4 linked regions of the Arabidopsis thaliana genome follow. The protein of the gene in region 2 interacts with the protein of the main gene of each other region in a biochemical or structural test. Each region holds a gene or a part of one and is shown on either strand. Other genes may lie near its edges.

Evidence for each region.
Region 1: the proteins of AT5G65360 (region 2) and AT1G02740 are reported together in a solved structure, tested with the Arabidopsis thaliana proteins (one study listed by BioGRID).
Region 3: the proteins of AT5G65360 (region 2) and TFL2 interact in a test that uses a peptide from one of them, tested with the Arabidopsis thaliana proteins (one study listed by BioGRID).
Region 4: of the proteins of AT5G65360 (region 2) and CPK4, one has a biochemical effect on the other in vitro, tested with the Arabidopsis thaliana proteins (one study listed by BioGRID).

The regions. Positions count from the first base shown.
Region 1 is NC_003070.9:597,991-604,573, forward strand, and holds AT1G02740 (MRG family protein), read right to left. Parts: upstream 4,210-6,583; 5' UTR 4,032-4,209; coding exon 3,822-4,031; intron 3,717-3,821; coding exon 3,663-3,716; intron 3,571-3,662; coding exon 3,557-3,570; intron 3,383-3,556; coding exon 3,237-3,382; intron 2,987-3,236; coding exon 2,946-2,986; intron 2,836-2,945; coding exon 2,731-2,835; intron 2,524-2,730; coding exon 2,444-2,523; intron 2,245-2,443; coding exon 2,075-2,244; intron 1,987-2,074; coding exon 1,902-1,986; intron 1,823-1,901; coding exon 1,744-1,822; 3' UTR 1,340-1,743; downstream 1-1,339. Other genes in the region: CSLD5 (cellulose synthase-like D5), read right to left, coding at 1-483; AT1G02750 (Drought-responsive family protein), read left to right, coding at 4,683-4,764, 4,990-5,135, 5,611-5,688, 5,785-6,144. UniProt on the Arabidopsis thaliana protein: Chromatin remodeling factor. Acts as a 'reader' protein by binding to H3K4me3 and H3K36me3 to control histone H4 acetylation. Increases the transcriptional levels of the flowering time genes FLC and FT.
Region 2 is NC_003076.8:26,118,785-26,123,184, forward strand, and holds AT5G65360 (Histone superfamily protein), read right to left. Parts: upstream 1,798-4,400; 5' UTR 1,726-1,797; coding exon 1,315-1,725; 3' UTR 1,075-1,314; downstream 1-1,074. Other genes in the region: HTR11 (histone 3 11), read right to left, coding at 622-1,041; AT5G65370 (ENTH/ANTH/VHS superfamily protein), read left to right, coding at 2,924-3,372, 3,527-3,965. UniProt on the Arabidopsis thaliana protein: Core component of nucleosome. Nucleosomes wrap and compact DNA into chromatin, limiting DNA accessibility to the cellular machineries which require DNA as a template.
Region 3 is NC_003076.8:5,825,861-5,832,150, reverse strand, and holds TFL2 (uncharacterized protein), read left to right. Parts: upstream 1-2,390; 5' UTR 2,391-2,613; coding exon 2,614-2,973; intron 2,974-3,286; coding exon 3,287-3,312; intron 3,313-3,392; coding exon 3,393-3,500; intron 3,501-3,612; coding exon 3,613-4,368; intron 4,369-4,450; coding exon 4,451-4,511; coding exon of another isoform or gene 4,512-4,529; exon of another isoform or gene 4,530-4,599; coding exon 4,600-4,647; 3' UTR 4,648-4,980; downstream 4,981-6,290. Other genes in the region: AT5G17700 (MATE efflux family protein), read left to right, coding at 1-60, 135-191, 305-543, 648-766, 864-950, 1,031-1,126; AT5G17680 (disease resistance protein (TIR-NBS-LRR class)), read right to left, coding at 4,998-6,290.
Region 4 is NC_003075.7:6,047,159-6,053,536, reverse strand, and holds CPK4 (calcium-dependent protein kinase 4), read right to left. Parts: upstream 4,097-6,378; 5' UTR 3,978-4,096; coding exon 3,440-3,977; intron 2,898-3,439; coding exon 2,754-2,897; intron 2,665-2,753; coding exon 2,512-2,664; intron 2,411-2,511; coding exon 2,295-2,410; intron 2,083-2,294; coding exon 1,915-2,082; intron 1,828-1,914; coding exon 1,603-1,827; intron 1,515-1,602; coding exon 1,353-1,514; 3' UTR 1,157-1,352; downstream 1-1,156. Other genes in the region: AT4G09580 (SNARE associated Golgi protein family), read left to right, coding at 86-356, 440-610, 685-816. UniProt on the Arabidopsis thaliana protein: May play a role in signal transduction pathways that involve calcium as a second messenger. Functions as a regulator of the calcium-mediated abscisic acid (ABA) signaling pathway. Phosphorylates ABA-responsive transcription factors ABF1 and ABF4 in vitro.

The sequences.
Region 1 (6,583 bases), on a different chromosome or scaffold from region 2:
GATCTGACCTGACTTCTTCTCCGGATCAGCTCTATCCATAGAACAATCGATCACATGACCACGTGTCACCGATTTAAACCCACCGGTGAAAATCGTCCCAGAGAGGAAACTTTTTTGATTCGAATTCCCTTTTAGCATCTCGTCTTCTTCACTCTCCTGTGAAGCGAACACCGTCTGATGATCCGGCGTAGGTGGGATATGAACAGTATAGCTCAGAACGCACTCTGAATTAGTCGTCTCCGCCGTTAGATCTTCCACAGACATAGAACAGTATCTTCCTTCATCACCGTTAGATCTCCGATTCCCGCTGCTAATGGAAGTGCGACGCGTGGCTCTTGAGCTTAGAGGAGAGTTTTGGTTGGTGATGACGGAGGCGCGTGGGATAGGACTCGTCAATCCTAAGCTTCTGTCGCCGGATCCTTTACATGGTGTCACCGTTATAGTCACCGGAGATGGTGACTGAGAAGCTGCTGATTTCACCATCTTTGGTTCACAATTAGCAGTGAACCACAAAAATCACGAGAGAAAAAAATCAAAGATTTAGAAGGAAAAGAGTAGTTCTCAAACTTGAAAATCAGAAACTCAGAAGAAGAGAGATTTTGAATCTAAGGAAGAAGAAGAAGAAGCTGAAGCAGCTAGTACGAAGCAGAAGAGCATTATAATTTTCGAAATTCAGAGAGAGAGAGATATAGAGATTATAAAGGAGAAAGGTATTGCTATAAACGGTCGATAGATCTAAACCGTTCATTTTATTCACGTTGCTTCATGTGAGATCGGACGGTGATTATCGAATCCAAACGGTAAGTTTGAAAAGATTACGTGGGACCAGGTCGATCTATAAAGAAGAAAAGTCAAATAAACGGAAAATAATAAAAGAGAAAGAGTGTGTGTATCTCTCTCCCTTTCCGTAACGGTCAAATAAATTTATATTGGAGAAGCTGTTTAAAAATAGTAATATGCTTTTTTCTCATCCCATGTGGTTTGATAATTTTGAACTCATTGGTATACAATTTTTGCATATTATCATCAAATGATGTATAGAGTAGCTGATAAAAATATTATTTGCTCATCATCCCATGGGGTTTGATGATTTTGAACTCATTGTCGTTGGTATACATTTGAATAGTATTATTTTGATATACTACTCGAGTAGATCATTATTCCTTCTGATGCACTGGTAATTTTATATACTAATCTGCCCATTAAACATATAGTTCTGTACTCATAAAACTCAAAAGATTTTGAACACATACTATTATAATATGTTTTCATTCGTATATTCAAAAGATCAACTATGTAGCATATTTACAAATCAAGAGAAGTTACTATGATCATTAATAATTGAAAAGGGAGAAGAGATAATTAAAAATGACTAAAGTTATTTTAAAAATAAATTCTTACTAATACAGTGGAATTTAAAACGCCGAGACAAACACGATAACGACGTTTAAGTACTTTCAAAATCGAGACGGAACATAGTATAATAGTTCTTAGATCATCATTATTGATGATCTCTTAAAACAATTCTTATGCTAAGAGACATGTTTTATAACTAACAAAATTTCTTATATAAGAGACTTTAAGTCACTTTTGTTAATTATAAGACATATCTCTTAACATAAGAGTTATGTTAAGAGACCATCAATAAGGATGGTCAGGATGGTCTTAGGTCTCGTTACAAAATACTACAAAGAGAAGATTCGCTGCACATACTTACAAGAACACGTCATTAGGCACAATTTCCTAACCTTCTTTCTTCTCCATTTCTTCCACTGCTTTGTATGTCGATACAAAAAGCACACTCTGATTCTTCCTCAAGAACCTGCTTTATCATTTTGTTTTTGTTATTTGTCTTTAAATACTTGTAAAAAGAGTTAAGTAGGAGAACAAGAAGAAGAAACCTGAGAATATCAACAAAGTTGTCCTGCAATTCCTTCAATGTCTCTTCTGCCATATTCACATGTACTAGCAACTCCGGTAATTTCACTGCAAAACTCAATATTTATATAGTCTTATCTTGACAACTAAACCACATGATAAAGGCAGATTTGCAGATTACAAAAACTGGCCTTACCAAAGAGTCGCAACAAATGCTCTGCTCCGTACACAGTTGAAGGAGAAACACCCCCTGATACGGATTCCTCGTACTGCTTCCGTTCATTGTTGTAAAGCAACATCACCGGTAAAGCTTTGTCAAAGTAGCAACGCAAGCCTTTCAGAATTTCCTCTAATGAATCTGTTACCCTATATAGATTCACCAAAGAAAGTACTAGATATATCAGAAGCTTGGAATACGCTTTATCTGTCAACCAAATTATCCATGGAGCATATACAAATGATTTATACTCTCTTTAAGTATATGAGAATAGCAACAAAAGAGATTAACAAGTGTAACTGTTGGAAACTGACAGCAGAAAGAAACTATAATCCACAAAGAGCTTACCTGCCATGTTTCTTCATTTGGCTGTCAATGTACTTCTTCAAGATGCCATCCACATTTGGAGAACGCGGAAGTTGCACAAGCTGCTCAGACAATTCCCAAAAATGACTTAAAATAAATTCCTTAACATATGCACCTAAATATGACATTCACAACAAATATATTCATGCGACTACAAGAATATTTTTTCTCTGACTAAATGAATCAAAAGACTATGGTCAACTGCGTCAAAACACACAGAAAAGACCGTTTGAGAATTGAGAGAAGAAATAACAGGCTGATAGAAATACCTTCTGCATCTGAGTAACAAATTCAAAATCGTCAAGAAGTTGCTTCCTTAATGCTGGTGGAATATTGAAACTTAAAAGGTTGTCAGAGGGAAGCACATTCTTCTCCTGTATTCAGCAAACAACAAGACATGAGTAAGACTCCCCTGATTAAAAAAATCCCTGGATATTTGGAAGCTGAAAGATTAAGCAAATACATCCACTAAAGGAGCGATTACCGTATCAACAGAATCTTGCTTCCGCTTTCTTCCTCTAGCAACTGCAAAAATTAAGAAAATATTGAACAAAATCTCAGCTGACACAATATCTCAACTGACACAATATCTCAACTAACAACGAAAGATGTGTATGTATACTTTAATCTCAACAACTTCTACTTAGTCGACATAGAATAAAGCAAGCAAGACCAAATGAGAGTCCCTGATAGAGACTCTGAATATCCACAAAAGCAGCAAGATATCCATCGAGACAAGAATATGCAAAACAAACAAAAGAAGAAGCTGACTGACCATTAGGGCTTCTAGGTTTCATCTTTGACACTTTCCAAGCCATAGCACTCTTAATCCCTTGCTGTTTCAAACCCTGTTCTTTCTGTTTCTCAATATTCTCATCTGAATGTTTCAACAGACAGTCCAGCCTTATCCATTCGTCCCAACTATCATTGTATAGAAGAGATACAAGAGTCAAAGACTTTTTTACATTATCAAAAAACTGAGACTTGGCAAACAAATCAGTAAATCACCATATGAAGAATTCTCTTATTTATAAATAGTTTCAAATGATTTCAAACCGATTAGAAGCCAGTAACTATATTGGATGAAGCTCTAACCTTTTGTTCCAACCCTGCCAAAAGAAATCATTTACATCTTCAAAACTAAAGATAGAAGCAAAATAGCTCAAAAGAATGATTTTAAACATATACAGTATCTACTTACAATGTAATGCACAAAATATTTCCATTCATTGTCTTTAAATTCAACTTTAAGAACCTGAGAATATTATTATAAAAAAAAAAAAGGAAACGATCAGAGACATAAAGCATAAGCAGAGAAGAACACTCTAATTCAAGAATACAGAGAGTGTATTTCACTAACCTTGGCTTCGTAGAAGCAATCACTGTGTTTGGCTAAAACTCTCTCTCCTTCTTCGAAGTGGCCGGGAGGAGCAGGTAGCAGAAGAAGAGGCAAATCTTCTCCGTCACAATCGGTGTTGGTCTCTGTATCAGAACCAGAGTCCCGTCGTGTGTCTCCGATGAAATCATCGGTTGTTAGATCCGTCTCGGCGGCGGCGTTAGGGCTTCCCATCTCAAAAAGAGGAGGAGAAGAAAAGAGTAAAGAGAGCTTAAGAGCCCTTTCGTCTTCTTCCACGGCTCGTCTCACGTCGAAGCGACAAAGGTAAATGACAAAAAAAAAAACTCACTCAAAGTTGTTGAATCTCAACGCGATTTTGTCTGAAAATTTCCGGGAAAATTGGGATTTTCCGTCTATCAGAATCTAAAAATTCTCAGATTTTAACATGGGCTTTTATTATTAGGCCTACAAGCCCATTTAAATAATTTCAAAATCTTGACTTCAAGCCCATTTATATCATTTCAAAATCTTGACTTTAAGCCCATTTATATAATTTCAAGTCAGGCCTTTACTGATAATTAACTTGGGGAGCAATGCAATAACAGTAACATCCTTACAAGAAAAGGACAAAAACACCCCTGAGTTAGCTGAGAAAAAGGCTCAGTGCAATGTAAGGGTATAATAGTAGTTCACTCTTACCACCCGAAGTATTCTTGTCCATTAAGACTCGGCGGATTAAAAAAAGGTTTGGCCTTTCCGTGGAGTAGTTTCTTGACATTTTCTTTCTGCTATCTCTTACACAATTGGGTATTTAGCTGACACGACGAAGAAGGTCTCTCATCAATTATCTGAGATTTTTACATAAGAAAGGCTCCGACAAAGCAGATGGAAGACGATATGTGGTGCGTTAGCTCATCTGGTTCTTCTAGAAGCTATCGATCGGAAACTGCTGCTAAGTATCAATCAGGTTTATTATCCAAATCCCCTCAATTTTTCTTTCAAACTTCATTTTTAGGGTTTATGATTGAAGATTGGTCTTAATTGGGTTTCGATTGAGTTGAGTTCTGTTTTGATGACTTTTTGTAGTTGGTCGTTTAAGTTAAAAATTGTAGCTTTACGTTTTGCTTTTTAGATGAGAGAAGACTTTTTTTTTCTCTTTTGCTCTCGAGTTAATTAGTGGTGAATATTTCAGGGCCTTATCAAGATTTGGAAGAGTTTGAAGAAGTTGACGACGATATAGCAGTGGAGTATCCATGCCCGTTTTGCGCAAGTGATTATGATTTAGTTGAATTGTGTCACCATATCGACGAAGAACATCGTCATGAAGCTAACAATGGGGTTTGTGAATTCACTTCCTATCTCTCCTGCTCTTTTCATTTCACACTCAAGCTTCACATGAAGCAGTTTTACACAGCTTAGTTATTCGGATTGTGGGAAACATAACTTCAATCTATAATTTTGATTAGGATTTGTTTTAGATTGATGCGTTTGAGAATCTGATTGCTATTGCAAATAGTTTTAATAGAGAAACATGCCACTCTTATCTTAAGTTACTCTTTGGGTTTTACATAACTCTCCATTGATCAGTTTAAGGTTTTAGGATATTAATACTTTTGACACTTTTTTTGGCTTTACATACTTGCTATAGAGAGTAGGTGACTTGAGCTCTCTGTTTTGAAGCATAGATTGGTTTTACGAGCTAAAGAAATGAATATATAAGTAGTATGATGGAACATTATTAATCTGGTTCCGTGAATTGTCATGTGGTAGCATCATCTTACAATTCGTTTTGGTTGTTTTGTGGTTTTTGTAGATATGTCCTGTATGTAGCAAAAGGGTGAAGATGCATATGGTGGATCATATAACATCACATCATAGAGATGTCTTGAAGATATCCTTTTTTGTTTCTTTTCAAAACCTTTCAAGTCAAATTTCCGTCGCTATAATGAATGTGATTTATTTGAAATTCCTTGACCGATAATTTTACAGTGAGCAGAAGGAAATGTCTTACAGGGAAGATCCATATTTATCTGATAAATATCTTCAACCTCATCTTGATGAGTTGCCACCATCTATGAATCATCATCAGCATCCCTCTAAACATGTTTCCGATCAATTTTTATCGTTCATCAACAATTCTGCATTACCAAATCAGACCAAGCTTGTGCTGCCTGATTCAAGTGTAGAAGACAAGAATCCGATTAAGGATTCGTCAGCAGCAAAAGAGGGTACATCGTCGTGTCCTTTATCGGATAGTGATAAATTGGAGAAGGCAAAGAAGTGTGAGTTTGTACAGGGACTGTTGTCATCAGCCATGTTTGATGATGAATGTGACTCTTCTGAGTAAAATAAAGATGTGAAGTCGCCAATGGGAAAGGCAGGTGATTGTCATTGTTGTAATTTTATTCAGCTCTATTTATATATATGCATCTTTTTTACAGACATAACACTAGCTTTAGCCTTATAATATAAGCTGATGAGTTTTCAGTTTGTTTCTTCACAAGAATCTTTTGTCGCAGAGCACCGTCCTTGCAAATTTCTTTCCTGCATCTAGTTAAAATTGGGATGTGTTTTTTTTATATGAGTATAACAATAGTGTGAATATAGTCAACAAGCCCGTCTAGCTCAGTTGGTAGAGCGCAAGGCTCTTAACCTTGTGGTCGTGGGTTCGAGCCCCACGGTGGGCGATGCAACTTTTTGAAAGCATGCTGTTTTAACACGCTAACGAACCCAGTTACTACAACGTTGTTTAACTTCCCACTGCTTTATATAACGAACCTCAGAAT
Region 2 (4,400 bases):
CAGTGATTGATGATCTAACAGACATTGACATCAGGCTACCAATGCTAGTCTTTCTTTGGGAGATAGTAGCGGCCTGGTTATGAGAATGTTGGAGCCATCAATTGCTTTGGTTAGGACCAGAGCAATCATGTCATTCATCCTCAATCTACAACTCCACGGCGATGAAGTGTCAATAGAATCTTCTATCGGACACAAATGATCTAATTATTCAAACCACAACATTGTCTTCTTTGATGTTAATATATAAGTCTTGCATCTTATTTAGAGTGTTTGTGTTTGGTTCCGGTTGATCTGTGTAACTGTCTTTATGTAATCACACAAGTGTATGCTGTCTGGTTAGTCGGAGACAGAGTAAGAAGACATCCTACACATGACATTGGAGAATTATAAGGTAAAATCTTGAACCATAGATTTCTAAAGACTTTTGAGAACCAAAGTAAGGATTGTATTGAACATTACAAGTTTCATTGGGGAATTTCCACAAACACCTTAGCTGCAAATAAAAGCATTAACTAACCAACCTACAAGACATTCCAAAGCAGCAAAGATCGAAACTTACATAAACCCAAATCCGTAAATCGAAAAACCCATGAAATCCCAGTTCGCAGAACAACAAAATCATCACTCTCCTCGAGCTCTCTCACCTCTAATCCTTCTCGCTAATTGGATCTCTTTAGGCATGATCGTCACCCTCTTTGCGTGAATCGCACAGAGGTTTGTATCTTCGAATAACCCAACAAGGTAAGCCTCAGCAGCTTCCTGGAGAGCAGCGACGGCACTGCTCTGAAACCTCAGATCCGTTTTGAAATCTTGAGCGATCTCACGAACAAGTCGCTGAAACGGAAGCTTTCTGATCAAAATCTCGGTACTCTTTTGGTATTTCCTAATATCTCTCAACGCAACAGTTCCTGGACGGAATCTGTGTGGCTTCTTCACTCCTCCCGTTGCTGGTGCAGATTGTCTCGCCGCTTTTGGCGCTAATTGCTTCCTCGGAGCTTTTCCTCCGGTGGATATTCTAGCAGTCTGCTTGGTACGAGCCATATAGAAAGAATCAACTGGTTAATTTTATTAATTCTGGTTTTGATTTCTCGAAATTGTTATAGAAATTGAAAAGTGTTGAGTTGGTTATGTGGAAAAGGAGATGAAAATGTGGAGGGAGTTTTCAAACTTTGCTAAGGAAGGAGAGATTTTGATCCGTTAGATATCGAACAACATAAACGCAAAACCTAATCCAACCCTAAAACACGAAATTAGGGAAAACGAAAGATATACATAAGCATAACGATCACAGTCTAGAGTACTTCAATCTCCTTCTTAAGCCCTCTCGCCTCTAATTCTCCTCGCCAATTGAATATCCTTAGGCATGATAGTGACTCTCTTAGCATGAATCGCGCAAAGATTGGTGTCTTCAAACAATCCAACGAGGTATGCTTCAGCCGCTTCCTGAAGTGCTGCGACGGCGCTGCTCTGGAAACGCAGATCTGTTTTGAAATCCTGAGCGATCTCACGAACCAAACGCTGGAACGGAAGCTTGCGGATCAGAAGCTCAGTGCTCTTCTGATACTTCCTGATTTCTCTTAGGGCAACAGTTCCAGGACGGAATCTGTGTGGCTTCTTTACTCCTCCGGTCGCCGGAGCTGATTTCCTCGCCGCCTTTGTTGCGAGTTGTTTCCTTGGGGCTTTTCCTCCGGTGGATTTCCTTGCGGTTTGCTTGGTACGAGCCATTTGGTATCCGAAGCTTTGAGATTTGTGATTAAGTGTTGAAGATTTGTGAGATTTGATGAAGAAGAAGAAGATGTTGAGACTAAAGGGATACTGGATTGGTTTTTATAGCGAAGCGTATACAAGGGAAGTATTTGTTTTGCGTCGTTAGATCTTTTATTTAATCAACGGTTGTGATTGTTTTAATTTTAGTGATCCGCGTCACGTCTAAAGCAGCCAATCAGGTTAGTTTTCTTTAGCGCCCAAGTTTTTTAGCTTCCTTCACAATTTTTTAGTTTTTTTATTTAGGCGCGTCTTTTAAACCTTTTCGCTAAATTTTGGAACCTGACAGTGAAGGCCTCTATGAAATAAAAGCCCATGTTGTAGAGTCTAGGTTAAGCCCGTTAATATGTTGTGTATCAGTCCACGAAATTATAATCTTAGTTTCTGCTGATGTGGCCCATGTAGAATACATAAGTCGAGAAATAATAATATCATTGACGCACGTTAACTATTATTAACGTGTGAGTGGTGTAAAATCAGCCAATCAGGCTTTAAATCTAGATACAAAGATTGAGAGTTGAGTTAGTTGATTGATTTGAAATTGATTACTGAAGCAATAATGTTTTATATTTCTTACATTTCTGTTTATTTAATAATACGTGTTATACTCACAAATTAAAGTGTCTGTAATTTTGTATAATGTGAATACTTACAAAATGTGTTGAGAAAACGTCATTTTAAAAGTTTTTTTAGTTCAATTTTCACTTAAAATAAATTGAGAGATAAGTCAATTAATAGAAATCTTATCCATATACGTATGTAAATGTTGTCAGATTTTCTTAATGAACTTTTTATCAAAAATATATCATAATCAAAGTACTCTAGATAGAGGTAAATTAAACCTTTAGTATTCATTTATGAAACTTTAAGAAAATAACATTAAATTTAGTTTATAAATAGATAAAATAATAATAAATTAAATAGTTATTGCAATAAAATCCATGTGTATTTAATTTTCAAAACTGAATATCTAATTAAATCCTGGCATGAAAATTCCATCTAATACACATGTTCAATAGATGACTATTATACAACATATATATTTGATACCTTACAATCAAATCAAACCAAAAACACATTGTGAAACCTATAAACATTATTAAAGCAAAGCCACATTGCTAAAGTTTCATAACATTGGAATAGAACAACTATATTTCAAATGGGAAAATTAGCGACCTTGAATGGCATATTGAAAGACGAAGCCTCACAGATGAAACTCAATGTGGTTCATTTGTGTAGCTCCGTGAATGCCAAAACCATTGATTTAGCTCTCTTGAAAGCCACGTCTCATACCTCAAACAACCCGCCTTCAGACAAATACGTCACTTTTCTCCAATCAACTATTGACACGTGTTACGGTCCTGATACTGTTGATGCGATCTTGCATAGGCTGCGTGTGACGACGGACGTATGTGTGGCTGCTAAATGTCTCATTCTTCTCCATAAAATGGTTAAATCAGAAAGTGGGTATAATGGAGAAGATAGTCTTCGGAACAATATTAATCATCGTACTTTGATTTATACTCAAGGAGGGAGTAATCTTAAATTGAATGATCTTAATGTAAATTCATCTCGTTTTACTAGAGAGTTGACTCCATGGGTTCAATGGTAAGATTTCTATATACTGTTGGATTGATTAGGATATAGATGAGCACAATCGATAAGTCGATTATTCTTTATTATATATTTTTGTTTTTGATTTAACGTTAAATCACAATTTAATCGAAATTTTTATGATTCATCAAAATTTGGTTTTGAATAGGTACAAACAATATCTAGATTGTTACTTATCTATTGCGGAGGTTTTAGGTATTACTCCAAACATAAAAGAAAAAAACGAAGATAAGCGTTTGGAGACTCAGCGAGTCTCGTCTTACCCAATGGATTGCATTCTCAAACAAATTGATTTCCTAGTAGAACTATTCGAACATATAAGTGATAGGCCAAAAGCTCCACAGTCGAAGCTGAACAAAATCGTTATTGAAATGACAGAACTAATGGTACAAGACTACTTCTCCGCCATAAGATTGATGAGGATAAGATTTGAAGAATTGAACGTAAGAGTAGCTAAACCTAACGAGTTGGTTCCGGTTTTGGAGAAGCTTGAAAACTGCAAGGAGGGTTTGAGCGAGTTTTCTTGGCGAAGCAAGTATTTGATTGCAGATTTTTGGTATTTGGTATCGAAATTAAAAGATATGTAACGCTTGATGAGAAAATAACAGTTTGGTCCGGTTTGGTAGTTAAAATCTTATTTTATCATAGATTGTCCGTACACCTGGTTTTCGTCTCTATGGGTGGTTTTATTATACATGAGTCGATTCCATGTTAGGTGTTTTATAAATAAATTATGAATACTATATGTAAATATCTTATGAATTTATAATTTGCAAAACCACCAAAGAAGGCATTGGTATAATTTGAGGCATATTTAAAAGCGATATGCACGTTAAACCAATAACTTTTTATTATTTTTACTAAATTAAAATAAAGCAGTTTTATCTAATAATATTACAAGGCATGCTATAAAAAGAAAATCACAAAGGCCATTTTGCAGTAATTGCAGCGATCCTATGTAATCTATGAACCGGCTCTAAATATGTTGTATCACATTTGGATACAAAACATACACCAGTTTT
Region 3 (6,290 bases), about 20 Mb from region 2:
TGTCTTGATGTCTGGATATGCAAAGGATGCGAATATCGCAATTTCCGCTTTCTCCATATGGTATTACTTAAATCCGAAGAAGTTTTTTTTTCCATATACATATGAAAACTAAATACTTAATTCAAAATTTGCAGCCAATATATCTACTCATGGGAGATGAACATATGCTTTGGCTTGATGGGTGCAGCATGGTTTGTAACTATATACGTACTCTCATTCACAGTATTTTGTTTTTGATGTATACATATATTATTTGTTTAATACTAAAGTGAATGTTTCTCTATCTATGAATCCGAAAATGTAGTGTACGAGTGGCGAATGAATTGGGAAAAGGCGATGCGGATGCGGTGAGATTCTCGATAAAAGTGGTGCTTGTGGTATCAGCGGTGATCGGTGTGATATGTTCCGCTCTTTGCCTAGCGTTTGGCGGTCAGATTTCGTATTTGTTCTCTGATAGCCAAGCAGTTTCGGATGCAGTAGCTGATCTCTCCATCGTCCTTAGCATATCTATACTCTTCAACATCATCCAGCCCATTCTATCTGGTTACAAAATAAAACCCTTATATTAGACATAAATAAATTATAACATAAACTTTTAGATTTCACTAATTTGTAACCACTAAATTTGTTTGAACATATATAAACAGGGGTAGCAATTGGAGCAGGGATGCAGAGTATGGTAGCATTAGTGAACTTAGCATCTTATTATGCAATTGGTGTTCCTTTAGGTGTCCTCCTTGTTTACGTTTTCAATTTTGGGATTAAGGTACATCATATATATGAAAACTGGTATCCAGTACTTCATTATGATCAATCATTAGAACTTTTAGAATTTTAACTTGAATAAATGATATTGTATGCAGGGACTCTGGTCCGGAATGTTGGCTGGAGTTGGTATCCAAACGTTGATATTGTGTTATGTTATTTACAAAACTGACTGGGAATTGGAGGTAATTTACTTTTAATATATAACTCAAAATTTTTATTAGAAAATTCGTCATATTAAATGTATAATTTTATCTAATTACAGGTTAAGAAGACAAACGAGCGTATGAAAACGTGGACTCTAAATTTACCTGCTGTACAATCGACTACTATCTCCACAAGAGATGAAGAGAGAAAGTGAACATACAACTAAGTTAATTTAAAGAAATCTTTTAAGAAATTCTTTATAAAAAAAGAAAGAATAATTTATGTTGTATTGTGGTTGTGTTTTGCATTCCCTAAGAATGAAGTATCGGTGTTGAGATTGCATTATTAGGTTAATGCAACTCTCATAACTTTGAAAAAGGTTAAGAAGGATGAACTTTTTCTTTTATCAGAGAAAAAGGTTGTTCTCTTGTTCTTCGGATATACTCTTTCTAAACAAAAAAAAAATTGTGGGAGGTTTGAAATTTTAACTTCTTTCTTGATTTTTTAATGGATGTATATTTTGTGTGTGGGGAAAAAAATTCCATTTGTTTGAGTGCTTGTAATCGTGAATTTTTACAAAAAAAATATTCTCATATATATTTCGAGGAAACGTTACAAACTTTCATAAGCTCACCATCAAATAAAATACTCATTTATTTATGTTGAAGTCAAAACGTTCCATTTTTCCCCCTATTTATGAACCGATCCTAATGAATGTTTTTTTTCTTCCTTTTTACTTCTTTCATATCACCATTTTAAATAATAATAGTAATTATTATTTTTCTAACGTTTAAACAAAAAAAGAACTGCAAATTTTATAGTAACAATTCAAATTTAACAAAGCGATCAAAACATGCATCATTTAGTGTACAAGTACTAATCACAAAGAAACAAGTTTTGGTTGGACAAAGTATAGAACAAACACACTAAACTGAAGAAAATAGAACTTTAGCCCACCAAAAGTTGAGGCTAAAACTCGAGCAGTAATCACATAGTTACTATCAAGATAACTATACTTTGGAATGAAAGAATCTGAATCTCGATGAAGTTTATCTTGGAGAAGGACTTTCTTTTCTGTTGGTTTGGATGAGATATTGCTGAAAATTATTGATGATGATGTTAGGAGATCCAACTAAGTTGTCTGCCTTTGCAGTGCACTTGGAGACTTGGAGTGAGAATCTTAGTTTATGAGACTTATTTTCTGATTTTTCAATCTCCTTTGATTTTTTTTTAAGTTGTAATAATGTCCTAGTTGATTTCCTTGTAAAAGGAGCAAGAGCACGATGTTCTTTTATTTCTAATTTAAAGAAAATGTTTTCAGTTTAATATATTTTTCGATTTAATTTACCTTCACATATTTTCTTCAGTAGTATTTATTATTTTCATATTAGTAATTAGAAATAATCTCTTCTAATTAGATTATAAACGTTAAGAATTTGCTGTATTCAACTTTTCCTATTGTGATATTAAAAAAAAAAAAAAAAAAGAGAATCCAAAAAAGTGAAAAAACTGGTCTTTGAGGTCAGGTCAGGTCTTCTTCCTGCAAAAACAAAAACCTCAGAAATAGAGAAAAAGTTTCAATCTTTCTTCATCTTCTTCCTCCAAAATCCTTGATTTCTAAAAAGGAGAAGAAGAGAAGAGAACGCGATTACCTTGATTCACCCTCCTCCTTCAGGTTTGGGAGGCTCGAATACTCAGGAAATGAAAGGGGCAAGTGGTGCTGTTAAGAAGAAACCCCAGGTGTTGAACGAAGCTGGTGAGGCGGAGACGGCGGTGGAAACAGTCGGAGAAAGCCGGAAAATTAGTGGAGACGGTGGGTTTGGCAGTGACGACGGCGGAGGGGGAGGTGGAGGTGGAAGTGGAGAGTCGATTCTTCGCGAGATTGGTGATGATAGGCCTACGGAGGATGGAGATGAAGAAGAAGAAGAGGACGAGGATGAAGATGATGGAGGTGATGAGGAAGATGAAGAAGGAGAAGGAGAAGGTGGGCAAGAGGAAAGGCCAAAGCTTGATGAAGGGTTTTATGAAATTGAAGCTATTCGTCGTAAGAGAGTTCGAAAAGTAAGCTCCTTTTTTCGTCTTCACTCAGCAAATGTGGTTTGTTTTTGTTAACCATAATTAGTTGAGGTTTTAGGTTTTCTAGGTTTAAGATAAGTATCAAACGTAGGTTACACATTGGTGTGAGAAAGTGGCTGCTTTAGTAGTTAGTAATCATCGTAACAGAGTAGTTTATAACGAACCAAAGTTTTGATTCTGTGGTTGTTATATGTTGTAGGAAGAAAATGATCTTTAATGTTTGATATCTTCTTGGATTTGATTGATTGAATGATTCTGATTCTGCATTTTGGTACTGTTTTTTTTTTTGTATTTGTAGGGCAAGGTTCAGTATCTAATTAAATGGTGAGTTTTTCTAATCTTACTTGGTTTCATTTTTAAGTTTGTTGTTCTTGATTAAACATATGTTTTTCCATTGACATAAGTTATAAACTCGGTTGTGAAAGGCGCGGATGGCCTGAAACTGCCAACACATGGGAGCCTTTAGAGAATCTCCAGTCTATTGCTGATGTTATAGATGCCTTTGAGGGAAGGTAAGTAAATGGAATCTTATATAAAAGTTTTGTGATACTTTTGAATTGATTGTTTCATGGATTTTCTTGGTTTAATGTATGGATTTGCTTTCTTGTTTCATATGTTTCAAAGTTTGAAGCCAGGAAAGCCTGGTAGGAAACGGAAGCGCAAATATGCAGGTCCTCATTCTCAGATGAAGAAGAAGCAACGTTTAACATCTACATCACATGATGCTACTGAGAAATCTGACTCTTCTACGTCTCTCAACAACTCTAGCCTTCCTGACATTCCTGATCCACTAGACCTAAGCGGTTCGAGTCTATTAAATAGAGATGTGGAAGCGAAGAATGCTTATGTATCCAACCAAGTTGAAGCCAACAGTGGGAGTGTTGGGATGGCCCGACAAGTTCGTTTGATTGACAATGAGAAAGAATATGATCCAACACTTAACGAGCTACGAGGACCAGTCAACAATAGTAACGGTGCAGGATGTTCTCAAGGAGGAGGCATTGGTTCTGAAGGTGATAATGTAAGACCCAATGGCCTTCTCAAGGTTTATCCTAAGGAGCTTGATAAGAACAGTCGTTTCATAGGTGCTAAGCGGAGGAAGTCTGGTTCTGTGAAAAGATTCAAACAAGATGGATCCACAAGTAACAACCACACAGCACCTACAGATCAGAATCTGACACCAGATTTGACTACATTAGACTCTTTTGGTAGGATTGCAAGGATGGGGAATGAATATCCTGGTGTGATGGAAAATTGTAATTTGTCTCAGAAAACCAAGATTGAGGAGTTGGACATCACGAAGATACTTAAACCAATGAGTTTTACAGCATCTGTATCAGACAATGTCCAGGAAGTGTTGGTGACCTTTTTAGCGCTGAGGTTTGTCTCTTTAGCTCTTTGGTCATTTCTCGTAATTTGATTTCATATTTGTACAATTGTACTTATTTGGTTACTCTCATAGGTCTGATGGGAAGGAAGCATTGGTGGACAACAGATTTCTCAAGGCTCACAATCCTCATCTCGTAAGATTATCTTTATAGCTTTTTTTTTCTGCACTTACTCATTTGGAAGTTTCTTATTAGCTTTTCTAATTTGTTTTTCCCACACCAGCTGATTGAATTCTATGAGCAACATCTCAAGTACAATCGAACGCCTTAAATCATCCGGAATGGTAAGAATTTGTTTGTACACAGCCCTTGTAGGTAGAAAAGATTAGATGGCTTCTTTATTCTAGCAGTGCAACATGTAGAGTCGAGGTAGCGACAATTGGATTTTGTATCGCGTCTCCGGGAGGTTTCAGATTGTAATTTATCTCCTCGGGTTCGTTGTGTTCACTCTCTATCTCTATCATAGTAAATCTTGTTACTTGGACCTTTGCTTCTTATAGCGGAAGTTTTCTTGTACTTGCTTCTTCAAAGATCAAGTTCATGATATGTTGATGTTATCAAAATATATGTGATCAATCAATATATAATAATTATGTTTACAAGCAAACCAAGTAATTTTTTTTACTTTCGTATGACATTTCGCTGATGTAATTTGGAATGACGCTCTCGAGCCAAAGGAACTGGAAGAAACTTGATCCTCTTGGGATTTAGTTGTTCCTTATGCAAGAACTCAGTTTCATATGCTCTTCTTTTCAAAATTCTTGCGTCATCAAATGCCTTTGGAAGATCCAAATCAGAACTCTGAATTTTGTCAGAGTCATTAGAGAACTCTTGCATCATGTCTTTGAGTGATATAAGGTGTACCGCACATTTTTTAACCTCTCCAAGCGGGCTAAAGGAATCTCCTTCTGTGTTTTCGACTGAGAATTCAAACAGGGCTTCGCTGTAAGCTTCCATGGACGTGCAGGTTCTGCTGAATAAGAGAAGGTGATCTGATCCAAAATACATGTTTGTGAAAGCTTTTGGATCAGGATACCACACCTCATCCATAACAACCAGCTCACAAGCATCAGCATCTTTTAATATACAAGAGCAGTGTATCTTCAGATTGTTCATCGGGTACTGTCCATCAACTCCAATCATGATGCAGGCAGAAAATCCCAGAATGTCAGACGATGATTCACTCTGAGGTAACTGTATATTCAGCGAAGGACCCATGACTTGGTGATTGAAGCAAGTGGGTATGTCACTTCCAGGAAAATAAGAGTGTTCTGGTTTTGCTGACTCTAGCTTCAAGTTACGGTGAATGAGAATCTGCGCTGCTTGATCCAATTTGTAACAGTTGCTAGCTACAAGCTTTCGCAGACAATATTGGTTGAAGCAACCTGAGATACTCACTAGTGATGTGCAGCTATGGATGTAGATATACAAGAGACCTCGTGGAAGCTCATCGGGCAATGCTTGAAGTCTCTGGCAATTGTTTAAATTCAGTCTGTTCAACCTGGTGAGCCGTTTGATGCTTGCGGGGATGAATTCAAAATTGTTCCCACTCAAATCTAGTTCTAGTAGATTCCATAAGTTACCAATACTGTTAGGAATCTCTGTCATGTTCATGTTGCTTAGGCTCAGAGCTCTCAAGTCATCAAACCTTGATAAGGGAGGACAAAGAGAATGCAACAAACCTTCTGGAGTAAAGAAACTATTCCCAATCGCTAAAACTTGAAGACGGGTAAGTCGTGCAATAGACCATGGTGCTCGCCTTATCACTGTTCTACTGGCTTGAAGCACCTCAAGAGCTACTAAATTCCCAATGTTTTCAGGTAGTTCTTTAATGCTAGTCCTATCTAAATCAAACCACCTCAAGCAGCTCATTGTCTGACAAATTTCTAGTGGAAAACTCTCGAGTACAGAACA
Region 4 (6,378 bases), on a different chromosome or scaffold from region 2:
ATTTGAAAGTTGCGTTTTCAGTTGAATGTGATATGCTTGGACTTACTATATGATGATGATATATTGATATGATGAATATGTGCAGAGAGAATCTTGGGTCTTATGCAAGTGAGTACCAAGCACGGTTCATTTTAGGTTACTGTTCGACGTATATCTTTATGCAGACATTTATGATACCTGGAACGATCTTTATGTCATTGCTTGCTGGAGCTCTTTTCGGTGTGGTTAGAGGTTTTGTTCTTGTTGTCCTTAATGCAACTGCTGGAGCATGTTCTTGCTTCTTCTTATCGAAATTGGTCGGTAGGCCATTGGTTAACTGGTTATGGCCTGAAAAGTTGAGGTTTTTCCAAGCTGAGGTAAGTTCTTTTGTGTTTGATTAGTATTTAGTAATGTCTCTTGTTCTGAAAGCATTAATGTCTTGAAATCTTCAATGGGTCAGATTGCGAAAAGAAGAGATAGGCTGCTAAACTACATGCTGTTCTTAAGGATAACACCAACACTTCCAAACCTCTTTATCAATTTGTCTTCTCCAATCGTTGACATACCCTTTCACGTCTTCTTTTTGGCGACTCTAGTCGGTCTTATGCCAGCTTCGTACATCACAGTTAGAGTGAGTCTATTGTTCAATCTCATTCCGCTGTTCTTTCGTGTTTAAGAGGCTAACATTTACTTTCATTTACACAGGCTGGTTTGGCTCTTGGAGATCTCAGATCAGTAAAGGATTTGTATGATTTCAAGACCTTGTCAGTGCTGTTCCTCATTGGATCCATCTCCATATTCCCTGCCCTTCTAAAGAGAAAGAGAGTATATGAATGAAGAGTCGAAGACTGAAGAGTATAATCATTTATATAGATATTGATGAGCAGCACCTTTCAGTCGCATGGCAGCATTTCAAAGGTGTTTATGAGCTCAAGATAAAAGAAGAAGATTGTTTCTGCAACATCGCGGAGCTTAAAATCGCTAACTCTGGCTTTGATTTGTTTATTGTCTTCGATTTGAGAGCTTCTCTTACCCCCTTGTAGTAGTAAGTGTTTGTGTAGCTAGTTTACTGAATCATGATTGGCTTTGTATATTGAATACTTGATTCAGAGATCTGACTCTGCAGCCTATTGGCTTATGTATAACAAACATGATTATGTAAATGCTTGAAGACATTGCTTTGACCAAATATGGGTGATTCTGATCATATAATGGTTCTATACGCAGAAAATATGAAGCAAAATTATCCATGCTTATAACAAAATTGAGAAAGTTGCTCATCTACAAAAGTGGAAACGAAAACAAAAAGGAAAGATTCAGTTTTTCTTTTGTGAGTTCTCATTTCTCAATTCCAAGTATATAGATGATTATAATTACTTTGGTGAATCATCAGATTTAGCAGTGCTGCTTGTGTCCTCAACTCCAAAAGCTTCAGCTATATTGAAGTTCAAGTTGTTCCTCATAGTTCTGCTCCTCCCAACACCATCTCCTTTCTTCATCATAGCAGTAAACTCTGAGAAATCAATCTTCCCGTCCTAACAAAACCACATATTTTCATCATCAGTTTTAAACCAAACTCACTAAGAAACAAGACAAAGGAAACAGATCATGAAGGCTTCTTACATTATCAAGATCAATCTCTTTGATCATGTCATCAAGAGGAGTGTCACAGAGACCAAACTCTGTGCAGGCTTGTTGAAGCTCGTCAATGGTGATATAACCGCTACCATCTTTATCAAAGTATGAAAACGCAACCACCAAGTTCTCTTCTCTCTCCATCTTGTTTATATGTAATGTCGCTGCTAGGAATTCACCGTAGTCTATTGTCCCACTGTTGTCTATATCCGCCTGCAAAACACCATTTAAGCTTTGTGATTCCTAGAAGAACGGAGAAATCAATATTCTAAAAGAGAGTTTTTGTTTTGGTATAATTACCGCATCCATAAGAGACTTGATTTCTGATTCCATCAATTCAGATCCAACTCTCTTTAGACCTGCTTTAAGCTCTTCAAAGGTGATTGTTCCACTGTTGTCTGTATCTATCATTTTGAACAATTCCTTCAGACCACCAATCTCTTCCTCCGAGAGTCTCTCCGCGATTACCTAAACCGGGAAATCAGTTCTTGAATATAAGCAATGGCATTGAGAGTTTAAAGAACTATAGCTTTCCAACTTATAAGGCCATTTACTTAAGTTTATTCATTTCCTGAAAATAGTTCTTAAAATGTGTTATCTTAGTCGATCTTCCTAACAGGGAAATCAGTTCTTGAAAATAAGCAATGAGAGTGGAGACTAAAGGGCTACAACTTTCTTACTCGTAAGGCCATTTTCTTGATTTTATTCATTTGCGAGAACTGCTTAAGTCGCGACAAGACTGCTGGGTCGAGAGGCTTGTCTGGTGCAGCATGTTCATCAACAATCCAAGGGTGACCTAATAATATCATCAGAGGAAAACTCAATTCTTATATCTTACAGAAATGAACAACAAAATACATGTAGCAGAGAGGAAAACAATCATAAGTAACAACTTACACAATGCTTCATGTGCAGAAATACGTTTCTTGGGGCTCCTATCGAGCATTTTGTAAATCAAATCTTTAGCACCTTCTGAGATAGTAGGCCACGGATCAGATTTAAAATCTATCTTCCCTTGCAATATCTGCCTAAAGATTCCTGACTCGGTTTCTGCAAACAAATTACTCATGGATGCTTAAATCACATAAGCAATATACTTGATTCAGTAGTAACAACGGTACTAGCTTTCACAAACTTACCTGCCCAAAAAGGAGGAACCCCACTTAGTAAGATGTACAAGATAACACCGGCGCTCCACACGTCTATCTCTGGTCCATAACATTTCTTCAGAACCTCAGGTGCAACATAATACGGACTTCCAACTACATCATACAGATACTGCCCTGAAGATGCAAACCCACACAATTGAAAATTTTGTTAAGCACTGAAATTAGTCGGACACAATGTAGCTCTGATAGCATCATTACATAAGCATAAGTAACACAACAAAACTATGTAAATCTTGCAAGAAAAGATTCAGAAAGATCTAGCCACAGAAAATTATTGGTTCTCTAACAATGCTCAAGCAGCAAATTGGAAATGACCATTCAACAAATGATTCTACAGATAACATATCATGAAACCGATTTTCAACACCAAACAAGACATTTCTCAACATAATCTAGACAATGAATCGAATAAAATCTGATAAGATCGCTTCATAACCATAAGCATATGTTACATATATAACAAAACCTTGCACAATCAACACATCCATATATATCAACTAAATGTCAAAACCAGATATAACAAAATTCAATCTTTCCCTAACAATGCTCAAGCAGCAAATCCGAATCAAGAAACCAAATCAAAACATTTCCTTGAACCAACCAACAAAGACAAAAACCATAAGATTCCAATCAAAAGAGAAGAATCAACAACGAACCTGGCTTGTAGAAGACAGACAAACCAAAGTCTGTAGCTTTAAGCTTAGCATCATCACTGGGACTATCAAACAAGAAATTCTCAGGCTTAAGATCTCTATGCATAACACCAAGAGAATGACAAGCCTCAACAACACCAAGAATAGTCTTAATCAACTTAGCAGCTTCACGTTCACTAAAACACCCTTTAGAAACAATCCGATCAAAAAGCTCACCACCTTCACAAACTTCCATAACAATGTGAACAAAAACAGAGTCTTCATAAGTACCCTTGATTCTAACAACATTAGGATGCTCAGAGAGATGATGCATGATCTGAATCTCACGCCATACATCTTCGTAGTCTTCACGACATACAAGCTTACGTTTTGGGATTGATTTGCAAGCGTAATTAGCTGATGATGATTTCTCTGTACAGAGATAGGTTGTTCCAAATTGGCCTTGGCCTAGCTTTTTGCCGAGGAGATAGTGATCTCTTAATCTTGGTGTTTCGTATGGAAGAACACTGTTTGAGGGTCTTCTAGGGTTTGGTTTCTCCATTGTTCTTGATTTCGAAAGTCTCTGCCTTTTTTTGGTGTTTATCAAAGGAGGAGGAGGAAGATGATACGAAGTTACGAACCCTTCAATGTTTCTTGGTCATGTTGACTCGTCTTATGCAATTATTATATTATTATTGCTCTTTTGTTATCCCGTGACCATTTACATTTATAGTATTTACCAACTATTATTGCAAATTTGCAATAAATTGAATTGATGAAAAAAATCTATTGATCTTGACCAAAAAAAAAAGAAAAAAATCTATTGAAATATAGGGACTAGGCTTGAGATTTTTACACAAATGGTTTGGTCATTTAGGTTCGGATTCGGTTATTAGATGTGAATTAATTAGCAGGATTTTAGATGGTTTTGTTATCCAATTTTTTTTTGTTGTTACTTTTGAATTAATTTTTCTAACCAAAGTAAGTCGGATTATATTAACATTATTAATAAAATCGATAACCAAATCGAATCAAATTTTTTATAATTTGTTTATTAGATCTTAAATACATAAATCCGATAGATCTGAACAAAAAACCAATCAGACTCGACCAAAAACAATGTCCAACAAAAGTATGCGTTACATTTCTCTTATATTTATTAAGATTATTAGGTAAATTGTGTTCAAAAAAAAAAAAAAAAAAAAGGTAGATAACCATTTATAGAGATAAATTTGTGCATGATATTTTTTGCAAGTATCAAGTATGTATGGATTTTATCAATAAAACATGATATTATCAAAAAAAATAACATGATATTTTATTTATGTAAGACATTAAAATATATGTGTAAAATCCATCCACTTAAATTATTTAATAAACAGAAAAAAGGTTGGTTCTCAATTTGGCTACTAAACATTATGTCTTAATTGGGAACATGATTTTTTAAAAATCTATATGATTTTTTTTTCCCCTAAAAATCTATATGATATAAAGAGAAAAGGTCGTAAATGGAAAACATATAAAATTCACCGACATGCATGCACACTAACCACCGAATGGACAAGAACCAATTTCTTCATATCATATTTGGTTTGGTTGAGAGTTCACACGGTTTTCGCAGCTTTTTGCAATGCACGACTACAAATTTTAAACCTCGCTCGTCGTGAAGACCACTCTTTCGTTTTGGAGCAATATTATAAAATAGACGTGGTACATGTTAATGTAAATGTAATTGTGTGAATGTCGTATAATACTATAATTTAACACAAAATTATTTCTCTATAATTGTAAAACAAAGTCCAATCAGCAATAAAATAAAATTTAAACCCGAACTATCTAAATACTTTTAAAAATCCATTTCTAATACTTATTACATTACGCCTTAACGATATTAAAATATGAAAAGCAATGTGTACCGATTCTTTATGGCTCTATCCAATCCATGGCTATGCAATATTCCTCATCTTTTGCAATGAGTTCCAACGTAGAAAGAAAATTTCAGGTATTATTTTGCATGCGTCGTTTTAGTACATGTATTCTTTATTTCATCGCCGTTGGGTAAGAGACCTAGATGTATAAGCTTTAGATATATTTATTTCATTGTTCATCTTCAAAATCTGACATCATTTGGAAAACCTCCAAAATCCATCTTTAACCAAACCCAAATAGCATCGGAGGACACTTTATTCATAAATGATGTTAAATAGATATTTTCTAAATAAAATTGGAACTTTATGCAGGCCCCTATTGGCCCATCTTTAAATAAGCTTGGGCTTTCAGCTTCTGTTTTTTTTTAATAAGATGTTCGTTTGATTATCTAGGTTGCTGCAACAGCGGCAGATGCAAGTAAGTGCGGCATAATGCTGCGGTCAACGCTTAAAAGTTGTATTATATATGATAAATGACAATTATACCCTTATTATGTTTGAGAAACTACAAACAAACCTAACTCTATTTCTTCTACTTCTTTTTCATCATTTCTCTCTTACACTCATCGATCTCAAACTCTTTGAAACCAATCTCTCTCCGCCGCCGCAATCTTGCGAAATATTATCCGGTGACTTGAGCTCAACTAGATCTCCCGTCGTTGGTTACTTCTAATACAACGTTGAATCTCTACTCCGAGGTACTTTCGTTATTCACTGACTGAAATCTCTTAAATATTTTGAGTTTCTTATTTATTTGTGTTCTCTTAGTTACTCTCAGCTTGATCGGTTTATTCAAAATTTCCAAATTCTATGTCTGTTTCTATATAATGGGTCTAAATGTTTGGAACTAATACTTACGGTCTTCTTCACTATATAGGTAGAAATCACTAATACTTTTCGAGGTGGTTGGTCAGGATAAAACTGTTTGAGATATAGTTACAAGATATCAACGGTCATTGAATACGGTAAAAAAAAAAAAGATTGATGATGTTTTGAGTGCTCTTTTAAAGTTTGTAGTGGATACACTAAAGCCAC